4 linked regions of the Elephas maximus indicus genome follow. The main gene of each other region encodes a partner of the protein of the gene in region 3 in a complex. Links are inferred from orthologs where the notes say so. Each region holds a gene or a part of one and is shown on either strand. Other genes may lie near its edges.

What was found.
Region 1: SNRNP40 (region 3) and LSM6 share a complex: the UniProt entries of both Homo sapiens proteins name them as parts of the U4/U6-U5 tri-snRNP complex. The link is inferred for Elephas maximus indicus from reciprocal best matches to the Homo sapiens genes SNRNP40 and LSM6.
Region 2: SNRNP40 (region 3) and LSM5 share a complex: the UniProt entries of both Homo sapiens proteins name them as parts of the U4/U6-U5 tri-snRNP complex. The link is inferred for Elephas maximus indicus from reciprocal best matches to the Homo sapiens genes SNRNP40 and LSM5.
Region 4: SNRNP40 (region 3) and LSM7 share a complex: the UniProt entries of both Homo sapiens proteins name them as parts of the U4/U6-U5 tri-snRNP complex. The link is inferred for Elephas maximus indicus from reciprocal best matches to the Homo sapiens genes SNRNP40 and LSM7.

The regions. Positions count from the first base shown.
Region 1 is NC_064831.1:38,672,477-38,679,734, reverse strand, and holds the start of LSM6 (U6 snRNA-associated Sm-like protein LSm6), read left to right. Parts: upstream 1-4,237; 5' UTR 4,238-4,355; intron 4,356-5,964; 5' UTR 5,965-6,068; intron 6,069-7,258. UniProt on the Homo sapiens protein: Plays a role in pre-mRNA splicing as component of the U4/U6-U5 tri-snRNP complex that is involved in spliceosome assembly, and as component of the precatalytic spliceosome (spliceosome B complex).
Region 2 is NC_064826.1:94,010,417-94,017,417, reverse strand, and holds the start of LSM5 (U6 snRNA-associated Sm-like protein LSm5), read left to right. Parts: upstream 1-3,983; 5' UTR 3,984-4,040; coding exon 4,041-4,086; intron 4,087-5,322; coding exon 5,323-5,418; intron 5,419-5,736; coding exon 5,737-5,764; intron 5,765-6,688; coding exon 6,689-6,761; intron 6,762-7,001. UniProt on the Homo sapiens protein: Plays a role in pre-mRNA splicing as component of the U4/U6-U5 tri-snRNP complex that is involved in spliceosome assembly, and as component of the precatalytic spliceosome (spliceosome B complex).
Region 3 is NC_064821.1:72,228,325-72,236,200, reverse strand, and holds the start of SNRNP40 (U5 small nuclear ribonucleoprotein 40 kDa protein), read left to right. Parts: upstream 1-4,864; 5' UTR 4,865-4,909; coding exon 4,910-5,044; intron 5,045-7,876. UniProt on the Homo sapiens protein: Required for pre-mRNA splicing as component of the activated spliceosome. Component of the U5 small nuclear ribonucleoprotein (snRNP) complex and the U4/U6-U5 tri-snRNP complex, building blocks of the spliceosome.
Region 4 is NC_064821.1:3,112,628-3,120,035, forward strand, and holds the start of LSM7 (U6 snRNA-associated Sm-like protein LSm7), read right to left. Parts: upstream 3,004-7,408; 5' UTR 2,982-3,003; coding exon 2,976-2,981; intron 2,894-2,975; coding exon 2,803-2,893; intron 757-2,802; coding exon 685-756; intron 1-684. Other genes in the region: SPPL2B (signal peptide peptidase-like 2B), read left to right, coding at 3,136-3,204. UniProt on the Homo sapiens protein: Plays a role in pre-mRNA splicing as component of the U4/U6-U5 tri-snRNP complex that is involved in spliceosome assembly, and as component of the precatalytic spliceosome (spliceosome B complex).

The sequences.
Region 1 (7,258 bases), on a different chromosome or scaffold from region 3:
CTTCAGGTAAGACCGTATTATCCTTTGCTTTATTTTTTTTTAGTAACAATTCATGAAGAAGGCTGTCATTTCCTCAAATTATTTGGGGGGGAAAGATGTGCAAAGAGGACCACGTTGTGTTTGTGAGACAGCTGATCACTTTGTGGGTATGGGTGACCTCCAATAAACATGTCCTAACATTGGCACAGGTTTTGCTACAACAGAAACAACTAGTCTTTGCTGCTGAGAGTTTTAGGTGACAAAAGATGTACTTCTTAGTGCAAGGACTTGAATGACTGCAAAGACATCCATTTATCCTGATATTAGGAAGAAAGGAAAGTCAATTGCTTAAGACAAAAAGTTGAGATGAAAGAGCTTATGCTAAACACATTGGTAATTTTCAGCTCCATTGTGTTTACTAATCCAGGATTGGGGAATATAGCTTCTGGAATATAGTTACTGAAACTAGCATTTGGTCTTCAAATTTTTCGTTCTCCCTGGGTAAAGTCCTGAAATTCTGAAGTTGTTCGTGAACTTGATCCTACTAGTTTATAATGCGACATTTTAACTACATCACTGGGCTTGTGAAAGAAACATTTACACTGCAAAAAAACATATGGATTCGATAACCCACCCTGGAAAATCAAAGACATCTGGGTTTTTTTGCTATAAACATTGTTTGGAAGTCTAAACACAAAGCACCGGTCCAATTCATTAATATTTTGGAATGAATTTAGTTACATATCATAATAGAAATTAGTTGTGCCTAGCCTTTTAGTAGTTAAAAATTTTTTTTTTCATACTATCAGTTAAAACTGGGGCAGTTCTACTATGTCCTGTAGGGTTGCTATGAGTCGAAATCGACTCGACTGCACTGGGTTTTGGATCAGTTAAAACCACATTTGAAAGAAGCATTTTGAAAATTGAAAGTAGTGTTTTAAACAAATTTGGTAGCAGATACTCTAGAAGGGAAAACCCATAAAGATGTAGAAATGTGCTTTTAAGAGTTAAAAGAACGCTATAACTTGGAAACCATTTGACCATGTCTAAAATACTCCTGAGTTTTTTTTTTTATATATACTGTAGTTTATTTACTTTGAACTGGCCATACGGTTTTAATTAGTTTCACTGTGGTAGAATTAGCTTTATTGAAGTAGGTGTACTTCACCGAAAGCTGAACAGCCTTCTGGACCCCAGATTCCCAACATAAACTATAATTCACAAAGGCCAATATGACTCTTTTCTTTGTAGCTGGGTAACCATTTATGTTTGAGGTGAAGATGTTAATATGGAAATTTTGTGAGCTAAGAAAGAGAATGAACACTATCATTCTAATTTATGACCTTTCATAGAAGGCCAAATGTAAAGGCAACTTCAATTGTTTTATATCTCAGGGCTGGCACATAGCAATGTGTGAAATTTGGACCGTTAGACATAAACTTTTATTACCAAATTATAAATAATTTCTCCCACTTATAATGTTCACCTTTCAAGTTCAGCTTGATTAAAATACAAGGGCAGCTTCATAGTGATTTCGCTGAATTATACAGCTCAGAGAGGTTTTCTGGAGTTCATGGTGGAACGAGCAGCAGTAAGCCATTTGGAAGATTCTCTTCATGGTACCTCAGACCCTGAGTACATCTCTTGAAATTCAAGTCATACCAGAATGGTGGCTGGTGAAGTCTGAACATCTATTTAAACACCTTAACTGTTGTGTCTTAAACTTAATGCCTATGATACAGAATACATCCCTTCTTTTGGTATAAATAAAAGGTATACAGAAAAAGGCATTTCCTGGGAAATTTGCATGTCCGTCAATAAGCTTACATTGACTTCTCAGAAGATTTCCAACAACTATAGAATACTTTCCTTTTTCTTTAACAAATAATTTTCATATCCCATGATGAAAGATAGATCACAATGGCCCCAAATACCCACAATTTAGGTGTCACAACTTAGGGTTTAGTTGCTTTTTACTGTTCAGTATTTGAAGGTCCAGTAAAGGAGGTTCCACCCAGTCCATGCCAGCCCTTCATATCAGCTAATACATGGCTCAAACAAGAGCAGCCAGTTTTCTTAGGAGCTTAATATAGAGGCTATGTATTAAAATCTACTTTGGGGACTGTTGGTCAATCCAATTCCAAGTTTGTGTCTATCATCATCCTCATAAATATCAAAATACAATTACCCACATGTTCACAGGACTGTCAGGTATTTTATAAAATAAGCTAGACAGGATGCATTCTCCTATGAACATGGACCATTAAAGGAGATAGCTAGTTAAAGGCATGGATACAAAGAACTGCAGGAAGACGGAACATATAATGAAATGGCAAAAGTTTGTCTTAGTATTTTTGTACCAGCATTTGCCTACTTAGTAGCTTATGTCTGTACTATTCTCTTTATAAAGCCTTTTCGTATACATTTTTTTTCTCGTTTGATTATCACATAATTCCAGGGTAATAAAAGTGGCTTTTATTTTTCCCATTGTAAGATAAAGAAACAGGCTCAGATAAGTTAGTATTTACTGGGCCAGGAAAAGTTTTGCAATTCAGAAGTGGAAGATGCAGAATTCAAACAAAGAAACTTCTCACTTCATAATCCTTATATTTTTAGTTTATCGGACAGAAACCCACATATAAACAGTGCTAGAGATGGTTTTTCTTTTTTTAGAGACAGCTGAACTAAACCTTGTCAAATTATTTTGTGTGTAGGCTTTGAAGACTAGTTCTCTGTGGACTACTATTCCAGAAAAAGTCTTGCATGTTTTCTCTGTATAATACAAGATGCTGGAAACACACACACACACACACACACACACACACACACACACACACAGAGAGAAATCCTGCAAAGTACTGAAAATTGCTTTGTAAATTAGAACACACTGATTCTAAGCTGGGAGAGGGTTCTGAGAATGGTCCCATTTTTAATGAGTTTGTTAACTTGTGAGATAGTTCATGGTGCCGAGCCGTTTGTCTAGTTTGGCCCTTACAGATCAGTGGCCCTTGGACAAGGCTGAAGCTGCTCTGTAGACGAGCCATACCCTCAAAATTCCTGACTGTCCCACCGTACCAATCTTAATGGCTCAGCCACGGCTCTGTGATAAAGGGGAAAGATGCTATGAATCCAAAAAACTAAGTGATACCAGTGAGGAATGTGGTATAATTTGATATCTTCTGTGAAGGGTTTTATATCTTTTTATCTTATTGTGTTTGTTCTTTGCAACTAATTATTTGAATTAAATCGTGCTCTACTTAAGACTTTTTATTTACATTATATTTTATATTGCGAGAACTTCAAGTACAACCTTTTCACTATATCTGTAACTGCTTGGTCTTTATCCAAACTGAGCTTTTATAGAAGGTCTTAAGGAAGTCTCTCTTCACCAGATCACCCTCAGTGGTTCTCTGTCCATGTATTACTCAAAGGCTGATATTTTTCTGAGTTACCCAAGAGAAACTTACAAGAGGGGAACTGATTTTTGCTTTAGGGGGAAAAAAAAAAAATCTGCATCTTAGATCCTGTGATAGTAACAGGTTTAAGGATCTGTTGTTTAAAGATATTAGCACTTAGTTTGTGGTGTAGAAAATCATAAACAGGATTAAAATCAAAGATTTAAACTGATGGGGAAGAATATTGAGAATTCATGCAAAATTCCAAACCAAAGTTCCCAGAGCAGCACTTAAATATCTGCACACATTTCCCATTAGAACTACTGTTGTAATGTAACCCAATTTATGTCATAATAACAAGGAGTTACTTTAGCGATTTTAATTCTTTTTCTATCAATTAACATCGCCATGGAGACAATCTCTTGCTAATAATAACTTCATTTTCTCACATTTAAATCAAAGCATAAAGGTGGATTTAGAGATTTTCAGGCTGTTTGCTTTATTCATTCATTTATTTATTTATTTGCATTATATTATTCAGAGACATTTCTGGGCACGCAAAGTCATTACCTTGCCGAGTAATTTGTAGTTTCCTATGACTTCAAGCTCTTTTTTACATTTATGCAAAGAATTCCTGCGTAAACGATCACTTTCACTTTTTTTGGAGTTGTTTCGTTTTGTTTATTATTATTATGTTTTAAAATACAGTATTCGGCTTTCTGTTAAGAGAGAACACCGCCGCTTTCTACTTTAACTCCATAGACCGGCTTTGCCAGGAGACAAACCAAAACTCTTCGATTTGCGCGCTCCGGTGAGGGCTGGCCTTTTTGGCCCCCGCGGGCTGCCGTAGCCGAGGAAAGCAATGATTGGCTGAGGCGGAAAAGAACCGCTGCCCCGGCGGTTTCGGCGTTCGCAGCGATTGTCTGCCAAGGTCCGGCTAGTGCGGCGTCTGGAATAGAGGTTCTGGGTCCGGGCCGCGAGGTGAGCCGGGCGGCCACGCGAGCTATGGGGGGGGGGGGGGGGGTCGCGCGCAGACTCGGGTTCGAGGCCTCGGTGTTCCGTCGCTTTAGCAGGGTCCGGGGAGCGGCTACTGGTGCAGCCCCAGGCCGGGAGCACCGGAAAGGGCCTGGCGGGAGCAGGGTTCGGGGCCGGCGAGGGTGCGCCCGCCCCAGAGAGTGCTGGGCGTCGGGTCCCCACGGAATGCTGTGCCCTCACGCTCTCCTCAGCCCTTTTAATGGCCGGGAGATCTCCGGTCGTCGGCGCCAGGTTACTTGGAACCACTGCCCGCGAAGCGCTGAGACCGGGAGGTGAGGAATGGCGGTCCTGGGTCCCGCCGAGTTTGCCTCCGAGACTGTTCCTGGTTTTCTAAGCCCTTCGGGGCACCCCGACGCTAACCCAGGAGTTTGGTTAGAAAGCGGACCAGCACAGGCTCAGGGAATTGGGGAGCCTACACTGACGTCCCGGTGGCTGCGCCTGATCCCCAGAAATTAAGAGCTGCACTTCCCTGCTCCAGTCTGCCTCATGGAGTTGTCACGTGGGGGACACCCACAATTGTATGGTGGCAATTCCTACCGCCAGAAATAGTCTTTGCTCACGTACATAGCTGGTATTTTTGTTTGGGGTGTCTGGGATTGGGACGGTGCAGATAATGTTGTTAGTGACAGTGTGTTCCCCTCACCCCCGGTAGTAATATATGCCTCTTGTAGAAAAATTGAAAATACAGAAGCCTTTAGTGAAGAAAGTAATATTTACTGAACACTTCCATCCACAGTTTCTGTATTTCGCTTTTGTATGTGCTGTTTTCTGCTTGAACTAAGACTATACCTATGTTTTTCACTGAAGAGTATATACAGTTTTCCACTTCCATTAAAAAACTTCCTAGATAATGGCTTCTAATTTTGTATTTTCTTTTGGAGGAGCCCTGGTGGCACAGTGGTTAAACTGCTCAGATGCTGTCCACTCCACAGGAGAAAGATGTGGCAGCCTGCTTCTGTAAGATTTACAGGCTTGGAAACTCTATGGGGCGGTTCTGCTCTGTCATATTGGGTCAGTATGAGTCGGGATGGACTGGATGGCAGTGGGTTTGGATCTTCTTTTGACTGGCTGCCTATTCTGTAGTTGCATAGGTTTCATGAATTATTCAGCTGTTTCCCAGTTGGTGAGTTTTTGCTTCGTTTTAATGTCCCAGATAATACTTGAATGAATTTTTTAAAAATTGTATTTCAGAACTAGAGTCTCAGAAATGGAATTATTAGGTTAGATGGTGTGGACATTTTTAAGGGCCTTGATCCACATTGCCAGATTGTTCCCAAAAAAAGTTTTAGTAGTTTACATCTTTCGTTTACGAATGTACCTGTTTGACCAAGTGTTGTAGCTCGTAGTACATTTCTCACACATCAACCAGCGAAGTCAAGCCTCTTCTTGGAATCGTTTTTTGTTAGTGGTGTCCAGCAAGTCTGCTTGCTTGAATTTTGTGCAGGAGTCTTCGGAAACTTGTGTGTGTGTTATTGGTGTTACTGCATAGACTCACTGAATGTTAGAGCAGGAAGATACTGCAGTGATCATCTAGCATAACTCCCTTATTTTGCAGATGAGAAACCGGGGGCCATGAGAGGTGAAGTGATGAGTTATCCAAGCCATGCAGCTAATTAAGTAGCAGAGCTGGGATTAGAACTCAGGTTTCCTGCCTCCCAAGTGAGTACTCTTTATGCTACATCAGGCTCTCTCTCACTGAACTGTGGCATAGTAGGTAATAGAATTTAAAAAGACGTTTATGTCACCTGGATTATTTTATCATTTAAAAACCGTACTGAATAACAAAGAGTTTAACCGTGTGAGGGACCCGTAACACTGAAGAAATTTGTTTGTGGTCATTTGCATGGCCAAGACTAGAAATTCATGGTTTAGCATAGCAACCATTTCAAGATTTTGGCAGTTGTTTTCAAATTCTGTACGTATTGGAACAAAGTATGCCTTTTGTTAGTTGCCATTGACTCAGCTTGGACTCATGGTGACCTTATGTGTAATAGAGCAAAATGTCCAGTCCTGCATATCCCTAATAAGTTATAATTTATATTCCAACTTAGCTGTTGGTTCTCATTAGTTATACCTTGAAGAGTTTTTAAAACTCCTGTTGCTTTAAGACCAAAGAACAATGGTTTTTTGATTTCAGGGCTTATAGCTTGGTTTCTTAACCCCCGTTGACATTTTGATCATTAATCTGTCCTGTGCATTGTAGAATGTTTAGCAACATGCCTGGGCTCTATTTACAGTAGAACCATCCTCCCCCATCATGATAATCAAAAATGTTCCACCCCCAGTTGAGAGCTACTTACATATAGGAGTTATTTGGGAAGCTTTATAAAATGTAGATTAGACTACCTTTGTCTAGAGAGACTGACTTGAAGTTGCTGTTATTAGGTGCCACTGAGTTGGTTCTGCTCATAGCGACCCTGTGTACAACAGAATGAAACACTGCCCGGTCCTGCACCATCCTCACAATTGTAGCTTTGTTTGAGTGCATCATTGTAGCCACTGTGTCAGTCCATCTTGTTGAGGGTCGTCTTCTCTTTTGCTGCCGCTTTATCAAGTCCTTCTCAAGGAACCTGTCTCTTCTGATAACACGTCCAAAGTATGTGAGACGAAGTCTTACCCTCCTCTCTTCTAAAGAGCACTCTGGCTGTACTTCTTCCAAGACAGATCTGTTTGCTCTGCTGGCAGTCCGTGGTATATTCAGTATTCTCTGCCAATACCATAATTCGAAGGCATCAGTTTTTCAGTATTCTTATACATTGTCCAGCTTTCACATGCATATGAGGCCATTGAAAATACCGTAGCTTGGGTCAGGCCCACCTTAGTCCTCAAGGTGATGTATTTGCTTTTTA
Region 2 (7,001 bases), on a different chromosome or scaffold from region 3:
ACTTGATTTTTCGGATCTTTTGTGTAAGAGGGATCACGGGAAGCATCTGGCTATTCCGCCATCTTGGCCCCGTCTCCCCCTCCCTGCACTCTTAATTGTTTGATAACCTGGAAGCATATTGGTACAGCTATGTATCTGTTTATTCAGCCTTTTGAATTACTTGTTTATTCAAGATTTCTCTTTTACTTGTTTTAGATTTTTTCCCTCTCATTTAAATATTATGTATGGGAATTTGGAAGCCTTTTAAGGCCTGAAGCAGAACATCCTTGACATAAAGGAATTTTACAGTGAGACCTGTCACCTGATTATTCTAGTCCGCTGAATTTTTTAAAGTATTGTTTTCATTCTGCCCTTTTCTGGGCTTAGCATTCTGGTCAACACGAAACATATGGGATTGGTTGTGACCAGGGTTTTATATTTCTTTAGTGATTGTACTACTTTTTTTTTAAAGCATCGTTTCCATCAGTTTAAAGTGAATAACGGAAGTACCAACAGATTCAGCAAGTTTTATCCAGGGCACCCTTGGAATAACCTGAAGAATAGGTGCCCACTTCAAATGGAATTTGAGATTACTACCATAACTGGCTGTGGAGTTTACCATTACTATTTACACATCCCTTATTATTTTTTTATTTTAGGCAACCTTAGTAGTTGATATTTTCTACTCCTGGCTTTGAAATTTAAGGATCTGAATTCTAAGCATAGCTGAAGAAAACAGCAGACTTCCTAAAATCAAGTTTGGTTTCTACAATTCAGTAGAAATGTCTTAATACTAATAAAAATATTATGGATTTTTTCAAGATGTTACTATCCATTTCTTTTCTATATTTCAAAATTCTCAGCATTGGCTCACAACTGTGAGTGAAGCTACTATTCCGTATATGCAGAATATGTTAACTGTTTTTTTGCATCTGCTTCAGTATTCTCTACAACTGGCATCACTAAAATTAAACACTAAGCGTTGTTTTAAAAAGATTAAAAACAAGGTATCTTAGAACTCTGTATTGACAGTGTAATGCCAGCTTGTTTAATTCACTGTCCAGGAGATCTAGTAACAGTTTTATAAAAATGTGAGTCACTTTGCATCCTAGATGTTTCAACTAAGATTAAATCATGTATTCATAATGATATGTTGCTTAAATGTTTAAAAAAATGTCATTTAGAAGAATGCTATAAACAAAGGAAATATATTACTGGGCAAAACGGGAGAGAAAATATGCAAGGGAATTTCCAGGATTTTATCCATTTCTGAATGTACAGACCAGTCCATTTACTAGTTTAGAATAACAATTCTTTAAATTAGCTTTTATGTGAGTTGTGTTAATACAGAATGAATCCATTTTCAAGGTATTGTTCACAAGGACAAGTATCTGCTGGGAAAATAAATTTTTCCTTTGTTTTCAAAAGTGTTGGAAGAAGATTAGTGAAATTGAAATACCAATTTGAGATAACTGAATACTTTCTAAACATTATTTTAAAAGGAAACTTTTGGTTGTATTTTTATAATGGCATTTATCTCCAAGAGAAAAATTAGGAATGCCTTTCTGAACACATAGTACATCAGATAGCCTCTTCTAGTTACATACATTTCATGATGAATTATAAATTCTATTTTGTCTACTCTGTAAACAACCTAAAGGAAGAAAAATCCTTGAGATTGAAAACGAAGTCTCCATCTGGAATTGACCCGTTGTTTCTTTTTGTGCCTTTCATCAGGAAAGAACACAATCAAATAAAATCACTCCCCTCCTGCAATCTTCATTAACACTATTATGTAAATGAACAATAGTTCCTTCTATAGAGTCTAAAGAGATTTTCTTTTTTCTTCATTAAATGCACTGAAAATTGCTAATGTTCATTCTGTTCTTGTAGAGGAAAACAAAGTGCAAACCAGGCTCCCTTTGAAAAGCATATTTTTCTGATTTTTAAAAATTCTATCAAGTAGCAGAAACATAATAATGCCTAGAATTTGGTTCAGGCTGCATGAGGAAGCAGTGTCCAACAGTGACACTAGTTATTCTTTTCTTCCACTAGGAAAACATGCATCTGCCAAGTTGAGAATCTAGGGATTGGGAGCCCTGGTGGTGTAGTGGTTGAGAGCTACTGCTGCTGACAAAATGGTGGGCAGTTCTAATCTACCAGCCGCTTCTTGGAAACCCTCTGGGGCAGTTCTACTCTGTCCTATATGGTCGCTATAAGTCGGAGTCAACTCGGGGGCAATGGGTTGTTGTTTTTTAGCAGTAATGAATGCTCAGGTGTGTTATAGAGTAAAAACATCACAAAATTTAGTAAAGCAAAAAGGAAGTTTTATCAGCATATATTCAAAAAGGCAAAAGTGGGAAGCAGACAGGCATGCTGCCAGAGCTAATGTCTGCCCACGTCCAAGGAAATATTACAGAATAGACAAAAGTGGGAAAATGGACAAGCATGCTGCCACAGCCATGTCTGTCCAAGTCCAAGGAAATATTACAGAATAGGCAAGAATGGGAAAACGGACAAGCATGGTGCCACAGCCATGTCTGCCCGAGTCCAAGGAACATTACAGAATCATCAGTATATATTAACATCACAAACGGGCAAAACCATTGAAAGCTTCACCTTTTCACAGATTGGCTAGAAACTGTGATCCTACATTTTGAATTGCCTTTCTTAACAATCATTGATACAGGTTTCAGTAATAACACTCAGGAGGGTCTCGATTGGTCCAACCAATTTTCTATTCACTAAAGGCTAATACAAAAAGATAAAGAGTGGAAAGTCTTTTGTGTTCTGTTTGAATGGTTTACGTGAAAGGTTCACTAAAAGGTATTTTCCGAAATTATCCTAGCTATTGTCTTTATGCCTCAGGGCCCAGTTGATGTGCCCTTGTAAGTCCTTCTGAGCCCAGCTCCAGCTGGGTCACATTCTCTATGCTCAAGGACAGGGAATAATGATTCCAATATTATTTCCTAAATCAGGTGCTAGGTGAGACTAGCAATGGCTGTGATGGTTAAGTTCATGTGTCAACCTGACTGGGCCATGATTCATGGTCCTTTGGCAGTTACATAATGATGCAGTCATTCTCCATTTTGTAATCTGATGTGGGCATCTTCCGTTTTCAATTAATGACGATTTTTGCATAACAACTTGGTCTTTGAACCTAATCATGTTGACAAGTGAGTAGGTGTAATGCATATCTGTCAATGAATGAATGATGGGTGCTTAACAACCATTTGCTGTATGAATGAATGATGTTCTTTGTGATCCCTCATATTTAGACTATTTTGCCTGAGGTTCCTAGGACATGAATATAAAATAGAATAAGGCAGGGAATTTGTTTGCTATTATTTTCAAAACAAGTACAAAGTGCTATGGTTTTCCCATATGACATTAACATATAATTTAGAGTGACAGCTCGTGGTTGCTCTTAGTGTTCATTGAAGAAAGAGTAAAAAAAAGCCACATAGTATAAATTAAATTCTTAGATGTAACATGGTAAACACGTTGAATTAAATCAATTAGTAAAGAAACAAATTAAATCCCCACCACAGAAAAGTGAAAAAAAAAAAGGTTGGTTGTGGGTTTTCAATCCACTGGACTTTTAAAAGAAATAGTAAGCCCCCTTAACAAAACAGATTTTACAAAAATTGCAACACAGTGAGTTGGTGGCGAGAAAAATGAATTGACTTACTGGTCTGAAGAAAGATGCCCGACTTGTGAAGAGAGAGAACTTTCTGAAGAAAAATACAACGAAATTAAAGACTTTAAAATTTTCCAAAATCTTCCGGGTTAGAAGGAGAATTTATTCACAAGCCAAGATATCTTTAACATGCCTCCGAAACTTCGAGGAAAGAGAGGGTACCTCTCTAAGAGAAAAGTTCAGCGGACATAGATACCTCACCCGAAAGAAGCGAGTGTGCGCGATCTACAGGGCCTGGGCCCGATCGCTCTCTCGGCCTCAGATTGGTCAGGCCTGCCCGCGCAGGGGAAGAAAGCGGAAGCGCGCTCTTTCAAACTTGCCCTCCCTACCGCGATAGACGCAGGCCACTTCCGGCGCAGCCATGGCGGCTAACGCCACCACCAACCCGTCGCAGCTGCTGCCGCTAGGTAACCTTTCACGGGGGGCCGGGCGGGGAGCTGAAGTTCAAGATTGGGGGCAGAGGCGCTGCGACTAAGGTGGCGAAGTGTGGGGAAAAGTGTATCCGGCTTTTTCCTTCTGCTCCAAGTCTGTGGCCCCTGACCGCTCCTGCCTCAGCGTGATAGGTTCGCTTGAGGCAGCAACTTTTGACTCCCCAAACCAAACCGTCTCCGGAGAAAGGTTTATGCTTAATGAACTGAACGTGTAACCTGCCGTTGTTGTGAGCTCGTCTCTATCGTGTCTTGGGTAGCGGCCTCCCCCCACCCCCCAAACCTAGCATTTAAGATCTTCAGAGTAGGCTTTGTCTTATTTTATGTCTGGCCGGTTATTGAGGGAAGGTCAGGAATGAAATTTAAAAGAGGAATCTGGAAACTGGTTCCAGTTGTCATTCATTCAGCAAACGGTTATTGGAGCGTCTACTGTGCGCCATCCACCACAGAGATCATAACGACACTATTCAGCAGTATTCAGCAATTCAAATCACAGTCTTTTTCTTAAAATAATGCAGAAAACAGTGGAGGGAATGGATACTGAGCATTGTGCCGAATAGTGCTGAACTGGCTCAGTAGATATTCAAGCTGCTGTCAGAGTTCAGAGAATAGCCCTCGGTTGGGTGAGGCAGGTAGTGATAGGAATCTCTGATGAAGATAATTATACTCCTCTCTCCCCTAATATTTCGAGACTGGGAAGAGTGACCAAGTTAATAGACGAGGCTGTGCTTGAAAAGTTTCTATTCCTTCATTTGACACTCTTTGAGTGCCCGGTTGATTGCAGGCACGGCCGTTGTGAGTTGGAATTGACTTGTCGGCAACCGGTTTCTCTCTCTCTCTTTTTTTTTTTGCGGGGGGGGGGGTTGTCCATTGGGGATACAGTGATGAGCAGAAACAAGCACGGTCTCTACCCTCGTGGAGCTTAGAGTCTAGTAGGCAGTTCATATATTATTAAATAACCTAAAACACAGAAGTGCAACCATGGTAAATTGCTACAAGGGAGAGTTAAGTAGAGATCAAGGGAAACTTTTCTGTTAATGATCGAACAGAGATTTGTAATATAAGAGCTAAAGTTGTTGAATGAATATTTTTCCTGGTTTGTCTTTCACTATATGCAAGTTATTGAGTGCCAGTAGGCACTCAAATATTTGTTGAAGTAATGAATTGCTGAAATAATCTTTTTCCTCTCTCTTTTTTTCCTCAATATATTCTTAGAGCTTGTGGACAAGTGTATAGGATCAAGAATTCACATTGTGATGAAGAGTGATAAGGAAATTGTTGGCACGCTTCTAGGCTTTGATGACTTTGTCAGTATCCTTTTAAAAGGTGGTGGATAGGTTTTTCTTAGGTATTTAATAACGTAAGTAAGAACTATAGATAATCAGTATTTACTAATTATTATATTAGAGATCAGTTCACTCTTGGGGAACTTGTGGTAACATTTTAAGAGATGTATGTACTGAATCGACTTGACAGCAGCAGGTATGTACTGACCGAAGATAAAGTTTCTACCAATAACGAGAGTTGAAAATTTAAGTCATTGTGTTAAATGTTATCACTAAAATTGAACAAAGACAAGACAGAGTAAATTCAGACAGGTATGTTTATTTTCCTAACACCAAATTTCAGATATGGTATTGGAAGACGTCACTGAGTTGTAAGTAGTGTTAAAAATGAAAAGTTTGGAGGAGTATTGCTCTTCTTAATTTAAGGCAATTTTAATACTATCGAGTCAGTAAAATGATTTACAAGTAAATATTGCCTGTTGGCATTATCTTAAAGATGGAAATTTTATCTACTGATGCTAGTAAAATTAGATCAGAGGGTTATTAATATAATTATTATCATGTTGCTAGGAAATTAGTAGAGACAAATCTTTAAGATGAATGATACTAAAAACTGCTCAGGTCAAATAAAAGACTGGTAATAAAAACGTTTAACTGTGTAACATAAAATGTAAATGATGGCTCAGTTGTGTTAATTATATAGATCATGACCAATATCTCTGCTTTCAAAATTGAACTGATTACAAATTGCTTTAATGGCTGGGAGAAGCCCTAGTGGCACAGTGGTTAAAGCGCTTCGCTGCTAAACAAAAGGTTGGTGGTTCTAACCTACTAGCTGTTCTGGGGGAGAAAGATTTGGCAGTCTGCTTCTGTAAAGATTTACAGCCTTGGAAGCCCTATGGGGCAGCTCTACTCTGCCCTATAGGGTCACTGTGAGTCGGAATTGACTGGACGGCAGCGGGTTTGGTTTTTAATGGATGGAGATGAGCAATAATGGATGTGTTAAAGAAAAAGAGTGAAGCTGGTAAATATTTCGTATTTGGCCTCCTTGGCAAGTTTCAGCTTTTTTAATGAAGATCGAACTTAGTGGATGTTAGGCCAGTCAGTTCACTCTTACCTTTAAGGAAGAGTGTACATTACCCAGTGGATAATCTTGATCTTTGAAAGTTTTTGATATAATTGCTTCACCTCACATTTACTTACATAGAAGAATAACCTTTTTAGGGATGGAAAGATTTCAAAATGTTGGCTTTTATTACCACTGTTTAACCTGACTATTTTATCTATTTATTTAGCGAAATCACACCGGAAGGAAGAAGGATTACTAAATTAGATCAGATTTTGCTAAATGGAAATAATATAACAATGGTAAGACACATTGAAGCTAATACTGTTTTATTTAACAGTAGCCCGTTTTTGTAGGACGGTGGTTACAGATCTAACTCCTGATGCTGTTTGTTTGACTAAATGCCCATGGACCAGTATGCTTAGGATGGGAAAGGGATGTTGTGGTAGTCAGGGCGCTAAAGCTGAGCTACTAAATATGGCATTGGGCCTAGAGATTAGCTTGTTTGGCCTTTTTCATTTTGTTAGAAATCACTGTTGAGA
Region 3 (7,876 bases):
GCCCTGGTGGGGGCAAGTGGATGTGACTGGAGGAATGCCTGCTTGACAGAATATTCTGCTTTGATCCAGTTTATATATATATTAAGCTTCTGTATAAGATTTCAGTTGGAAAAAAAGCTTTGATTCTTTAAAAAAAGTTAAAAAAAAAACCAAAACTTTGAGATATAGTCTAGTCAGAAAGAACCACTCCAAATGGTGCACTTTCATCGTTGTCAATTTACTTGCACCATTAGGAGTTGCCTTGCAATAGTTCTCAAGGCAGAAAATCTTCCCTGAGTGCTTCATTTCATTTGAGCACTTTAAACAATTGTACAATGTCGGGAAGCAACAAAGACTCAGTTTTTCTACCCTCAAGGGGCACAGCAAGGAAAGTGTCAGGGAGAGGGGGAACAGTAGAGAAATGGTAGCCCAGAGCCAGGTCAAAGCTGGCTGTAGAGGAAATCTGCAAAGACGAGCAACCCAGTGTGGGGAGGAGCAAGGTAACTGATAAGGTGTCCACACATTGGGGTGGCCCAGAATGGACATCCAGAGCCTAAACGTGGAGAGGAGGATTAGAGATAGTAATGCAATGTTAATTTTCTGATTTTAATAGTATATTGTGGTTATGTAGGAGAATGTCCTTGTTTGTAGGAAAAACTAAATCATTCAGGGGTGATGGGGCCCCAGGTCAACAACTTAACTCTCAATGTTATTTGTACTATACCTCCATAATTTTGTGATTGTTTCAAAGTTAAAAAAAAAAAAAAAAAGTGCACGCATTTGGAAAAAAAAAAAAAAACACAGCCTGTCCTCCCTTCCAACAAGAAATAAGAAGTTTTTAGAATAATATTAAATTAGTGAGATACTCTACAGCTTCTTTGGAATGTCATTTCATGTGTTACCATACTGACCTGGTCTAGATTTTTGTTGTTGTTTTTAAGTCTGCGTTGATTTAGATTTCTTTTTGTTGTTTTTTTATAACACTAATTAACTAGAAGCCTGAAGGAATTAAAGAGATGTTAACTTTAACCTAAGTAAAAGAATTCAGAGGAGTATCAGCTAACACTGGGATATAAACAAAGACAGAATAATTCCAGAACCTACATTCTTAACCATTATGCTACACTGCCTCAAAAAGAATGCATAGTCCACATTTAAATTTTGTAGAGTACAGCTCTAACACTAACTAGGTCCCACCACTGGAGGAATCAATATAGAGTAATCAGAAGGGCATCGTTCATGGAGAAAGCTAGGATGAGCAGAGTCTGGATTCATTCATTCAAACATGAAACCAAGGACCATTTCTTATTTAATCTTGAGGTCCTGATATACAGTGGGTACTCAAAGACTTCTTGAATGAACGAACAAAGCTTACTATAAATCAAGCAGAGGTAAAGAAAGAAGGCAGAAAGCGTTCTAGTGTCTAAAAGATACAGGAGGAGAAGGAATTTGAGTCCCACATGTTGGATATGCCAGCAGATGGGAAACTTTCAAATGCCAAATTGGTGGCCTAACCTTCCTCCTTCCCACCAAATTTCTAAAATGACTATCCTAGACACGTGCTTCTTCCCTGTCAAGTTCACTATCTTATACAGGTGTTTCTTCCTTAAGAAAGTAGTCAAAAGGAGGGAAGAAGAATAGTAAAAAGCCAGGAAAAGCACAAAAGGTAGACTCATAAAATGTAAAAGTTGAAGGGAATTATATTATTAAGCTTTTTTTTTTTTAACTGAAATTGAGGCTAACAGAAGTCAAGTGATTTGAAAAAGGCTGCTGAGTTACCAGAGTTGTTACTAAACCCAGGACCAGTACTTACTCTACTGCCTCACACTGTTCTTTCAGGCAATAATCCCTAAGGTCCCTTCCAAGTACTCTAATAACAACAGTTAAAATTTGAGTGTTTCCGATTTGCCATGTATTAATCTAAGAGCTCTACTTGTCTTAACCAATTTAATCCTCTTTTTGACCACCCTATGAGATGGCAATTATCACTGCCATCTTAGAGATAAAGAAACTAAGACACAAGAAAAGCTACGTAACTTGCCCAAGATTACAAAACTATGAATGATAGAGATGGGATTCAAATCCTATCATCCTCTTTGTGAACATGTTTTCCTCCCTTTCTAGATTGTGAAATTCTTGTCGGCATGCCCTTGTCTTGCACATCACCATATCCTCCCGCCCCCAATCCCCAGTGCCTAACACAGAATAAGGCACATAGAAATTCATAACTGGCTGCTGAAAATACTGAAGTACTTGATGTTACCCTATTTTAAATTGTTAGTTAATTCATCAACTCAGCACAATATTTATTGATGCTTATATGCCAGGCCTTGTGCTAGGTACTTTACAAACCTAATTTTAATTCTTAAAAAAACTCTACAAAATAGGTATCTCCATTTTGCAGAAATGAAGTAACTTGTCCAAAGCCACACAGCTAGAAAGAAACAAATCTCAGGCAATTCCAAAGGCTAAGCACACGTGCCACTAAACTACCCTTTCAACGCAGTCCCTATCCTCTAAAATCTCCTAGTCTGGTAGGGATGATGATGAAACTATTTATAACACAGCGTGGTCAGTGCTAAAGTAATGGCTAGGTTCAAGATAATGAACAAACAAGGAACAAAGAAAAGACCTGAGAGAAGCAGGGAAGTTCAGAGATGACAACTAAGTAGGCCTTTAAGGATAAATGGGTATCTCCAAGAAGAGACTACTGTTGTTTGACCACATAAGAACCCTGAGGTACTGGCCTCTATTTTCTTCCCATCTATCAGCCCTCGCCTTTTTCTTCGCTTTCTTCCCTGTCCATCTTAGATTCCAGTCCATCATTCAAGTAATACCCTTAACTTTACCTTTTTATAGCTTACCTATCTGGCAGTACCCCTACTCTGTTGGGGAACAGTTGCAGACAACAGAATCAACTGTAGCTAGGTTAAGAAGAGATTTACTGCCAGGTATTATGTGGCTTTCAAAATTACTAGAAGGGTGATAGAAGCAGGCTCTGACAGAACTTGCAGGAACAACTCCTAACCTACAACAAAGCACACCAGCTTTGCCACCCAGATCAAGAAACTAATGGCTATCACTGCATAAAGTCACCAAACCAGCGAACTGTTGACTGGAAAAACTCATTGCCTCTGCCATTAACTGTCAGCAAATTATGCCTTGAACTCTGCTTCTCTCTACATTTAGCTCAGTTCCAAATCCAATTCTCAGCTTCAAGAGTCAAATAGTTTTTAGCTTTCCAGCTCTTCAGTAAGATACAGTACATTAGAAGTTGGAACGTGTGTTGTGTGAGCCAAATCCACAGTCCTTGCCATACCTGGATATGCTTTCTCCATGCCTGGACTAAAAAGCCTGGTGTTGCCAGAAAAAAATTTATGATCTCCAGTCTCAAAATGGGTTCTTAACTCTGCCTGGAAATCCTACATTTCTCTGGTGAACTCACTCTCCCAACCTCAGGAAACGGTAACACCATCTATTCAGCTGTAGAAGCCAGAAACCTAGGCGTTATCTTTGATTCCCCTCTCTTCTCTCCCTGAATCCAGGTTCTACCCACTTCACCTTCTATAAATCTCTAGAATATCCTTGCCAACATCTCTCAAAGGACTACTGTATATCCCTCTAAGTGGTCTATCTGCATCTCCCAGGGCTCCCCTCCAATCTATTCACACCACTAACCCAGAGATCAAGCCACCCGCAAAACCCTCAATGACTGCCCATCAGTCTTAAAGCAAAACTACAAATTCCTATAAAGTGTGATCTTCTAACCACCTTCCACTTCATCTTGCCATACTCTCCTTCATTCGCTTTGTACCAGCCACTCTGGCCTGTTCGTGCCTTTTAGTCATTTTGTTCCCACCACCATAGGGCCTCTACACATGCCGTTCTGTATGGAATGTTTCGCCTTCCCTTCTTCACCTAATTAGAATTCTTCCCTCAGATACCAGCTTAAGCATCTTTTTCTCAGAGAAGTCTTCCTGCTTATTTCAGGCACTCAGAGCAACAGCTACCTCTCCTAGGTAGCACTTCCTTTTCCTCACCAGACTCAAACTCTCTGAGGTCAGGGATCATGTTGGTTCATACTGTATCCCCAGTGCTTTGCACAATAAATATCTGTTGGATGATTAAGAGAAGGCCTAGTTCACAGGTATGGGTCTCAAATATCTAAACAATACTGGCCTCTCAAGAAGTCGGAGGTGAACCCTTTCTTCATCTCTCTCTCTCAGAGGCACACAGCAGGCCATAACAAAAAGCTGCATAGTCAGTGGCAGAAACAAGTGTCGCCTCCTCAGTCAGAATGAACACTGGTGGAGGCAGGGAGACAGGCCTTTTCTCCCAGGGCTGAACACAATTAGTCCCTTGTTGAAAAAGTCAGCCAGCAAGGACCCCCGGGAAACCGCAGGATCTGGGTCCTGCCGCCAAGAGACCCCAAAGCTCTGCTCCTGCCTGGAAAGAGAATTGAGGCTGCTACTTACCAGGGCTCCAAACTCGGGCCTGCCTCCCACCCTTTTCAACCTGCATCTTCACCTGAAAAAAGCCAAACTCAGACCCTACTACCGAGATGCGACCTCCAGAGTCCCGCAGCCACCCCCGATCTTCCTTACACTTACTCGCTGTTAGCTCCAGGTCGCCCAGCCACTGCACTGCGCGAAAAGCCAAACCCTCTCAGCGCGCTTCCACCCACAAGACACAGCGCGCCTAGGCGAGACTCCAGCTCCATCCGCCAATCCTGGAGCCGTACTCTAGCGACGTCAGGAAGAGCCGCCCAATAACAAGAGACTATCCGGAAAGAGCGCAGGTAGGAGCCTTGGAAACCGATTGGTTTCTCCAAGCCGGAAGTTCCGGGGGAAGAACTAAGTAGGAACCAATCGCTTGGTCCCTGTGTGTGTCGGCGCGGCCAGTGCCGGTGCTGAGGAGAGTGGCTGCCGCCATGATAGAACAGCAGAAGCGAAAGGGCCCAGAGTTACCCCTGGTTCCAGTCAAGCGGCAGCGGCATGACTTGCTGTTGGGAGCGGCGGGGTCGGGCCCCGGAGCTGGACAGCAGCAAGGAGCTTTGCTGCAAGCGGTAAGTGAAGGAGTAGGCGGCCTTCGGCCCTCAGCTCATCCTCCTCTCTCCTCGGACCTCTGCACTAGGTGGCCCCGAACCGGCCTTTCCACACGCTGAGAGGGGAGGAATGAGAATCTGTATATGGAGTTAAAGCAGGAAATTCTGTAAAAGCGCTTGACAACCTGCATACGTTCAGTATGTGTTTTCGCGTTTGACACCTCGTCACCGTCTCGACAGCCCTGTGAGGTGGCGTTAGAATTGTAGTTTAAGAGCCTTGGGCTTATTGTCGGGACCCGAACTTACGCATCCTAAAATTTCGGGAGATCTGGCATAAAATAAGCATTCAGTAAAAGTTTGTAGAGCGAATGAATGAGTGAGGTAAGGAAGAAAATGAATGATACTGGCTCGCTGTGGAACTTAGGACAAGTTGCTTTTTTCTTTTTCAACTTCCCTTTATTTCTTTGCACTGGTATTAACTACTAGTACTCTTGTCAATTAAGATCAGTTGCAAAAGATCTCCTTGAAGTGTTAAAAAGCAAAGATGTCTCCTTGAGAACTAAGATATGTCTGACCCAAGTTATGGTATTTTCTATGGCCTCGTGTGCATGCAAAAGCTGGACAAAGAATAAGGAAGACTGAAGAATTGATGCATTTGAATTATGATGTTGGTGAAGAATATTGAATATACCATGGACTGCCAGAAGAACAAACAAACCTGTCTGGAAAAAGTACAGCCAAGAACGCTCCTTAGAAATGAATAGTGAAACTTTGTCTCGCTTAGTTTGGACTTGTTATCTGGAGGGACCAGTCTCTGGAGAAGGACGTCATGCTTGGTAAAGTAGAAGATACGGAAAAAGCAGAAGTCCCTCAACAAGGTGGATTGACACAGTGGCTGCAACAATGGGCTCAAACATAGCAACAAGTATGAGGATGGCCCAGGACTGGGCAGTGTTTCATTTTGTTGTACATGGAGTTGCTATGAGTTGGAACCAACTCAAGGGCACCTAACAACAACAGTAGTATTATTAACAATAGCTAACATTCACTGAGCTCCTGTGCCGAGTGCTTTGTATATATAATCCCCGCTAATAATGGTAGCATCTTAAGAGTTAGGAACTGTTATTATCCTATTTTGCAGATGAGAAAACAGACTTAACTAGTAGTTTCCCGTTTAACAACTTCTACAAAATTTGTTCAGCGATCTTGGTTACATTTTACACTTTGTGTCTACTTTATCCTAATCAGGACTTTGAACCGGTTCAAGCCATGGCTGAGGAAGCAGAACTGAAAGACTCAAAATTTGGGTGAAGTAGAATGGGAAAGATTATGGATCGAAGCCCTGGGATCAGAGACTCAGAAGAGGCATAGTGAGCCTTTTCAGGAGCCTTATCGGGAGATTCAATTATTGCCAGGACTGTGGAGGGTGACACACTTTCAAAGTGGCACAGGCTACCGTCTTTGAGCTGGGCACTGCTGTTCCCAGTTTTGACAGTCAAAATACTTGGTTGTTATGTAATGTGCATGCTGTCCTTGTTTTCTAGAGGGAGATTAAGTTTCTAGCAGGGCTTCAACCTGTAATTTTTCCCAATCCGCTTCACTCACATTTTAAAAATTCAAGTCCGTTTGGGTTTCACTGCATCGGCCATGACTGCACATTATTTCTGTTCTCGGTGCTTCCGATGGTCTAGTTTCCCGCCCCCTTGCGTTCTCATCTTTGTTTTAGAGTAAGTGTTGACCATCTGGTCTCATATAGGTGATTTTTTTAAAGGAGCATAGTACTCACGGAAGATGTTGTTTATTTTATGTGCCAATATATTACTTAGCTAAAAGATGACCTCACGGGATAGTTTTGGTTCCAGGTTTAAAGAATATCTCAGGGCGATAGTCTTGGGGAGTCCTCCAGTCTCAACTAGTCCAGTAAGTCTGACTTTTTAAGAATTTGAGTTACGTTCCAGATTTTGTTCCCGTTCTGTCAGATCTATCTATTGTGGATCTGATCAGAACAGTGAGTAGTGGTAGCCAGGCACCATCTAGTTCTTTCGGTCTCAGGGTAGAAGAGATTGTGGTTTGTTCAGACTGTTAGTCCTGTGGACCAGTTTCTTCTCTGAGTCTTTGGTTTTTTCATTCTCTTTTTCTCTGGATGAGTAGAGACCAATAGTTGTATCTTAGATGGCCACCCTCAAGCTCTTAAGGCCCTGGACGCTACTTCTCAAACTAGGGTGTAGAACATAAACTTTATGTACCTTATTATGCCAACTGACCGAGTTGTCCCCCAAGACTATGGTCCTAAGCCTTCACCCCGTAAACCAATCCTGCAACATGTTTATAAGTATCTGTGTTTTTGCTGCCTATGTGGTTTATTGTGTATATGAATATATATGGATACGTACTTACACGCCCACACCGATATACACCTGCATATTAAAAAAAAAAATCAAACCCATTGCCATCGAGTTGATTTCGACTCTTAGTGACCCTATAGAACAGAGTAGAACTGCCCCACAGGGTTTCCAAGGAGTGCCTGGTGGGTTCGAACTGCCAACGTTTTGGTTAGCAGCTGTAGCTTTTAACGTATATGCCCACTGTATACGTAAATATACATACCTGTGCACTTGTATGCATACACATGTATCTACACTCCTATTGTTGCACAGTTGTATATGTCCTAGCGTTTACCAAAAACGTCCTTTTTCCTTGCATACTTCTAATGACATCATTTGCCCTGGTCAGACTCTGCAAACCCTGGTGGCATAGTGGTTAAGTGCTACGGCTGCTAACCAAAGGGTCGGCAGTTTGAATCCACCAGGCACTCCTTGGAAAGCCTACGGGGCAGTTCTACTCTGTCCTATA
Region 4 (7,408 bases), about 69 Mb from region 3:
GAGGGGCCACCAGGATGCTCCAGAGGGAGTGGGCGGCTCAGCCTGAAGCAGGCTCCCCACTGAGAGGACTTCTCTGCCCTGCCAGGTCGCACCTCTGTGGTGACATTATGCTGTTAAACTTTCCAGGAGAATCAGTCTTGTCTCAGCCACACTGCTGGTCTCCCGAAGGGCAAGACCCTCCTGGTGTCTTAGCAGTCCTCAGCCCAGGCCCGGTGGTCCCTGCTAGGCCCCAAAGTCCCCCTCCCAGCTCTCTATATCTCCCGCATGCTTCCTTCCCTCGTCATCCTTCTAACCATGCCTGGCACATTTTAAGTACCTAATAGGCACACCTGAAGCCCTGGTGGCGCAGTGCTTAAGAGCTCGGCTGCTATCCAAAAGGCCGGCAATTTGAATCCAGCAGCCACTCCTTGCAAACACTATAGGGCAGTTCTACTCTGTACCACAGGGTTGCTATGAGTCAGAAACGACTCGACAACAATGGGTAATAGGCACCTAAAGACCACTGCATGTGGTAACAAAACATTTCTTTTAACCTAGGACCGTGAGCTTCACAGGCTTTGCAGGAACACCAGGGCCAGTGGGGGATGGAACACCCTGTAGCTACCCAGTCGACATGGCTTGGTACCCGTAACTTAGGCATAGGTTCCACGGGTTTAAAACGAAAAGGACAAGGCCTGAACTCACCTCTCATATATTCGATGGTGCCATCAAGCACGAGGTTGAGGAGGGGGTCAAACCCTTTCAGGATTCCACTGGCTTGTAGAAACCACCAGAAGGAAAGGAGAAACGAGAAGGCGTGAGATCAATATCCATTCTTTGGATGAGTATCCTCGGTGCCCCAGGGCCAGGCAGGTTCACACTCCCACAAAGGACCACCTTTCAGGGGAAGAGGAAGCTGGGGACTAGGGGGAATGGGGAGGAGCCCTGAAAGGAGAACAGGGATAGCCAGCTCCAAGCAGAACGAGACGAGACAAGCCAACGAGCAACGGCGGAAGCCATTCAGCAGGACAGGGACCATTTGGTGTGCAAAAATAAGATACTCCCTGTCTGGCCCTTGATGGAGAAGTCTGCCCGCCCCTGGAGTGGACGGCCACCTGACTGCCCAGGTTTGGGCTTTGACTCTGTGGCTTCCCACTGTGTGACCTCCTCAGGCTCCACCTCTGCAAAACCATTGCCACCGAGTCAATTCTGACTCCCAGCAACCACGTGGGACACAGTAGAGCTGCCCCACAGAATTTTCTAGGCTGTAATCTTTACGGGAGTACATTGCCAGGTCTTTCTCCCACAGAGCGGCTGGTGGGTTCAAACTGCTAACCTTTTGGTTAGCAGCCAAGTGCTTACCCACTGCACCAGCAGGGGTCCTTCCTCCTCTTCAAAACGGGGCTCATAATGACAGCCACCTCACAGGGTTCAGATGAGCATCAAAGGCAATATTGCCAGCCAAGCACTTGGTGGGGGGCTGGGGATGCAGTGACCCTGCTCTGCCCATGGGCACCGAGCAGAACCTGGCCGAATCCTGCCCTCAGAGAACATACCATTTCACCACTAGATCCCCGCAGGGCAGAGTTAAGTGCCACGTTAGCAAACATAAAGATGCAGGTGGCGACATGTACTTGTTGTTAGCCGCCCTCGGTCGCCCATACTACCCCACACAGGAACAAAACGCTGCCCGTCCTGTGCTGTCCCCACAATCAGCTGTGGATCAGACGTTTGGATCCACAGGGTTCTCACTGGCTGATTTTCAGAAGTCAATTTCCAGGCATTTCTTTCTAATCTGTCTTAGTCTGGGAGCTCTGCTGAAACCTGTTCATCCATCACAGCAACACACGAGCCTCCACAGGTCGGTGGTGGCTACACATGAGGTGCACTGGCTGGGAAATGAACCTGAGTCGCCCACATGGAAGGCAAGAATTCTATCACCGAGCCACCGGTGTCTTCCCCACAGGTGCTACTAGGAGCTTAAAACAAAGGGGACTGACCTGAGGTGGAGGATCAGGGAAGGCTTCCCAGAACAAATGCCTTTGAACTGGGAGCAGGTTAGCCTGGCAGTTCACCTGGTGAGAGTATTCCAGGCAGGAAGCAAACGTGTGCCTTTCCAGCCCTGTGGCTACAGGTGCTGCTCAGACATACAGATTTAGATTTTATCCTGGCACAATGGGGAGCCAAGGGAGGGTTTAAGCAGGGAGCAGAGATTCAAGTTCTGTTTTTCACAGATTTCTCTGCCCACTGACTGGTGATTGACTGCCGGACTGGGGTTCTTCACCAGGAGCGATTCTACCCGAGAGGATACTTGCAATGTCTGGAGACATTTGTAGCTGTCATCATTGGGGGGGGGGAGGGGGAGGGTTCTACCGGCATCGAGTGGGTGATCGGGGTGCTGCTCAACTCTCTATAGTGCACAGGACTGCCCCACCCCAGAGAACGATCCGGCCCTCCAGGCAGCAGTGCCCAAGCTGAGGAACTCTGGTGTAGAGGGAGCAGGAACGGAAGCCCCTGGGAGGGAGCTGGAGGGACAGGACCGCACAGGAGGCAAACTCGTGAATCCCAATCCCGGCTGCGTCACTGTGACTTTGGGTTAAGTCTGTTCGCCGCTTCGTGCCTCAGTCTCCCCATCTGCAAAATGGGCACAACGGCATCTACCTCCCAGCGCTGTTAGGAGGACTGTATGAGTTAGTTCGCGTGCAGCCCTTAAAGCAGTGTCTAAGCGGAGAAAACGCTGCCTAAAAATTAAGTTGTTATCGTAGCTCTTGTTAATTATTTTAAACAGCTATAAGAGGGTGCTGGCGGCAGCGGCTGCCTCACCTTCGCGGCCTCCTTGAAACTTCACCCGGATCGTCTTATCGATGTACTTGGATAAGTCCAAGATGCTCTCCTTCTTCTTCTTTTCTTTGTCCTGCGAGGAAAGCAGAGCGCGTGAGGCGGAGAGAACGCCCCGCCAGCCCCACGCCGCCCGCCCGGTCCCGCCGTGCGCCCACCGCCATCTTGCCGCGCCGCGCCGCTCTGCGCAGGCGCCGCCGGCGCGCCCTTTGACGTCACCCACGCGCGTACAGGAGCCGCGCAGCCCCGCGCCTGCGCGCAGCGGCGCCCGGGGCGTTGCTGGGAAACATCAGCCGACGGCTGCGGGGACCGGCCGACATGGCGGTGGCGGCGGCGGCGGCGGCGCTGGCGCGGCTCTGGGCGGCCTTGTTTCTCCTCGCGGCCCAGGTGAGGGCTGCGTCGTCCCGGGAGCCCCGTACGCTGCGGCTCCCCTTTCCCCGCGCCCCTGGGGACCCTCTCGGGATCCAGCCCGGCCCGGCTGGGGGCAGCTTCGGGGACCCCGCGCCCCCCGTACTCCGGCCCCGCGGGTCCGGGGCCCGGAGTGACCTTGGGGGCTCGTCCCCAGCTCCTCTCCCTCCTCGCCGCGGAAACCCCCCCTAGCTGCAGTATCGCCCAGTTCCGGCCCGGGCTAAAGTTGTGGACCCCCGTCCTCTCCCCCCCGAGTCCTGCTTGTCCGTCTCGGGGTCTTCCCCAGCCGCCGCCCAGGACCCCGCTCTCTGGCTCTGCGGCCTTGGCCCAGTGACTGAGCCTCTCCGAGCCTCAGTTTCCTCTTATGCGAAATGAGCGCGATGCTAGCACACGCCCCGGGGGAGCGGGGAAGGCCCTGGAGGGGGTCAGCGCGGGATCCCCGTGCCTGGCAGCGTCGCGACAGGGCTCAGAGCCCAGCCCCGGACTGGGGGGAATCCTGCGCCCCATCTTTTACTCTGTGACCTTGGGCAAGGGAGTTCCTCGCTTTGAGCACCAATTACCTGTCTGCACAAGGGGGGGCAAGAGCAGTGTGGACCAGCAGAGGGCTGAATATGTTACTTATTTGTCGTTTCATGTTAAGGATCTCAGTTTCTTGTGGGGCACCGATAACAAGATAGCTGATGCTTGCTGTCTGTCATACCCAGAAAACCAACCATAAGTGCACCTTTTTTCCAAACCTCCCGTCTGTCCTGGCTTACGCAGCAGCTCTGGGAATGGTGCGCGATCAGCGAGACCTCGCTGCTGCTCTTTAACGTTGAGGACTCCTGCCTGACAGCTCTAACTCCTCACACGTCTTAGGAGCCTGTCCACCACCACCTCTGCTGGGGCTCCCCTCCCCTCTCCCTGTGGTCACTCAGGTCCCTCCCCCCGAATCCCTCCAGTCCACTCTTCACACAGCAGGGGCCATCTTTTCCAGAAGCGTGTCAGACCTTGTTGCTTCCAGATGAGAGCCTTTGCGTGGCTTCTCATCTTTAGAAAGGTCTTTGTGATGTGACTGCTCACAGAGCCACTTCCTCCCTCCCTTCCTGACTCAGACAGGATGCAGATTTTATCGGTGACACTTTGCTCTCTGATCTTTTCTATTACCCTGGAACTGGCTTTCTCCACTCCTGGCCTGGTTAACCCCTAGTCATCCTTCCCGTCTCTGCTTGCCTGTTCCTCCCTCCCAGAAGCTGTCCAGGATACCCTCTCCCCAGCCCCCCCTTACTGCCCACATTGTAGCACTGAACACGTGGTACCTGCCTGGTTATTCATCTTCCTCGCTCACCAGCCTGTGACACTTTGAGGGCAGGGACATTGAGCTCTCGAGATGTTTTGCATGAGATTCAGAAAAGAAGAGGTGGATAAAGAATCATGGGAGTGCCACAGAGGGCATGACTGGTGAATTTGCCTGGGAAAGCTCTTAAGGAGCAGTGACACCTGAGAAGGGTTTTGAAGGATGAATAGGAGTTTGTTGGGTTGGGAAGGGAGAGGAAAGGTATTGTAGGCAGTGGGAGTAGCATGACCAAAGCCAGGAGGTACAAGAGCTGATGATTATTTGAGGACTGTAGTCTGTGCATAAGATGGTCTGGTGCTTGGAGAGGGAGCTTACATCCAGAGAAAGGCCCTTCCCATGGGTCTGAAGGAGGCGGCAGGGAGGGGCCAGTTGGGGGTGTGGCTTCAGGCAGACGGTCAGATTGGGCAGAGTCCACAGGGCCCACAGCGCTGGGGAGTTGGCTTTATCCTGAGCAAGGTGAGCCACAGAGAATCTCTGAGCAACTCAAAGAGAGCAGTGGGCCCTGCTCTCCCTGGACCCTGGTTAAGGCCCCTTGTGGGCACAGTCCTGGTGCTGTGGGGCGTCTTCTCAGTCGTGTAGTGGAAATGGGTATATTTGACTCCTGGCTCCCAGGAGTAAGATTAACTCTCCCGCTGGGTGGAGGCTGCTCAGTGACAGTCCTGAATTCACAGGCCACTGTCTTGTGACCCTGGACAAGAAAAGTGACCTCCCCAATACCACTCCCCACTCCCATTTACTATGAAAGGTATATGAAGTGGAATATGAAGGCTGTCCTGTCGCCTCAACCTGTGCCTCCTCCACCTTAATGTGTTTTTTCCCATGATTCTTGGGTCCTGATGATTTCACCGTCTCCAAGATTTCACTAAGTGTTCTTGGAAGGAACAGTCCTTGGCTCATGCAAAGGGTGAACATGCTCAGCCGCTCACTGAGAGGCTGGAGGTTCAAGTCCACAAAGAGGCACCTTGGAAGAAAGGCCTGGTGACCTACTTCCGAAAACTCAGCCACTGAAAACTCTGTGGGGCACAGTTCAGCCACCAGGAGCAGGGTCGACTCCCTGGGCACTGGTTTACTGGTTTTCTTGAAGGAAGACTGCTCCATAACCTGGCTCCTTGGTGTCTTTTAAACCCCTTGGATGTCGGCCACTTCCACAGAGATTCTGGAGTTTCCTATATCTGCTTGGTAACTGTCAGAAGGCAGACCCCCATCCTTGTTCCTGTCCTAGGTATCTCTGGTTCCCCAGGCACAAATGGAGCAGCCTAGAGTTCAGGGTGTTTGTAGAATGTGTGTCACTGAAGAACTGCCAGCTCCCGTAACTCAGCAGGCGAGAGGGTGGCGCCTTCTCGGTGTTTGATAAAAGCTCGCAGCCCTTTTTTTAAGGGAAAGCCAGTTTGCTTTGCAGATTTTGTGAGGGCAATCCGTGAAGCCTACTTCTGCACCCTTAAACGAGCTCTGTAAAAGGAAGTTTCTGTCAGTTCCCATATTACACGAATGGGCCCTTTCACCCACAGCCTGGATCCCGTGGAGCAGGCTTCAGTTAAGGTTCTGTGGGAACCTTCTGGTCTGCTGGCTGTGCCGCCTGTTGCCACTACTCAGCCCATTATAGTGAGAAAGCCACAGACCACAGGTACATGAGGGGCACAGCTGTGTGCCGGTACAACTTTATTTACACAAGGAGAAGGTGGGCTGGTTTGGCCTGTGGGCTGTAGACTTCGGACCCCTGCTGTGGAACGTGAGTCCTCTCAGAGCAGCCCAGGCAGAGCCTCACTGGATGCCGGGGGCTCTGACTGACCGCTGGGGCTGTGGGAAGGGTGCACTGCTGACTGAAGGGTGTCTGCGGGGGAGTTGGGGACGGGGACCCCTTATCCTGCCTTGGGGCCCAAGAGAACCTTGGTCACGTCAGCCCTTGCCTCAGCCCTTGGTGAAGCGCCTCCCGTGGCGTCAGCCCTCCCCAGTGGTGGGGCTCATCTCCCCCTTGTCCAGGCTACCCTTTGTCACCAGGGCAGGGACCAGGGGACCCCGAGGAGCAGGGCGCTCATCCCTGCCCTGTGAGAAGGGCAGGGGCCACAGGAGCACAGAGAGCAGTGCACCACAGGGACTCCAGGGCCGAAAACTTGGGGACAGCCCCAAGGGTTATGGTGTGACACGGTGACCAGCTCATGACTGCCCTCCTGAGGCCCATTGTTCCCCTGGCAGGCCCAGGGGGTCTTCCCAGACCCAGAGGTGGGACTGCCTTGGGCCCCTTGTCCTGGGCCACATATAGTGGAGCAGCCAGGACCTGGGTCTGAGACCGCAGCCACTGTCCTTGTCACGCGCTGGGGCAGGGACTTTGGGCCTTTTGGCTGAGCTGGCGCGCGGGTGTCGGGAAGGCGGGAGAGCCTTGTGGGCACTTGACTCTAGTACTAGTTGGGTCCTGTGTGCCCAGAGCACAGGGCAGTGATGTGACCAGACACCTGCTGTTACCCTGTAAAGTGAGGAGGCGCTGGCCAGAGGGTGCCACCTGGGCCCGAGCCAGCTGCCCCACAGGTGTGTGGTGCCGGTGGCCCCAAGCCTTCCAGGCGCCAAAAGGCCTCTGGGATCCTGACCAGCCCTGTGGTCACACAGCACCCTGCAGGGGCCTGGCATGCCATCCCGCCTCCTGGGAAAGCCGCCAGCCTTCCTGGGTCCAGTGACCCCAGAGGGCCCCAGGAGGCAGTTGGTCCCATTTCACAGATGTGGAGATTGAGAACCAGCAAGGCAGCTGTGGGGACAGACAGGTGTCCAGGTTCCTGGGAGGCTCACTTCCCTGTCACCTTCCCTCTCTGTGGCTGTCCCCACCCTGAACCCAATGGGGCATAGAGGTCACCCTTC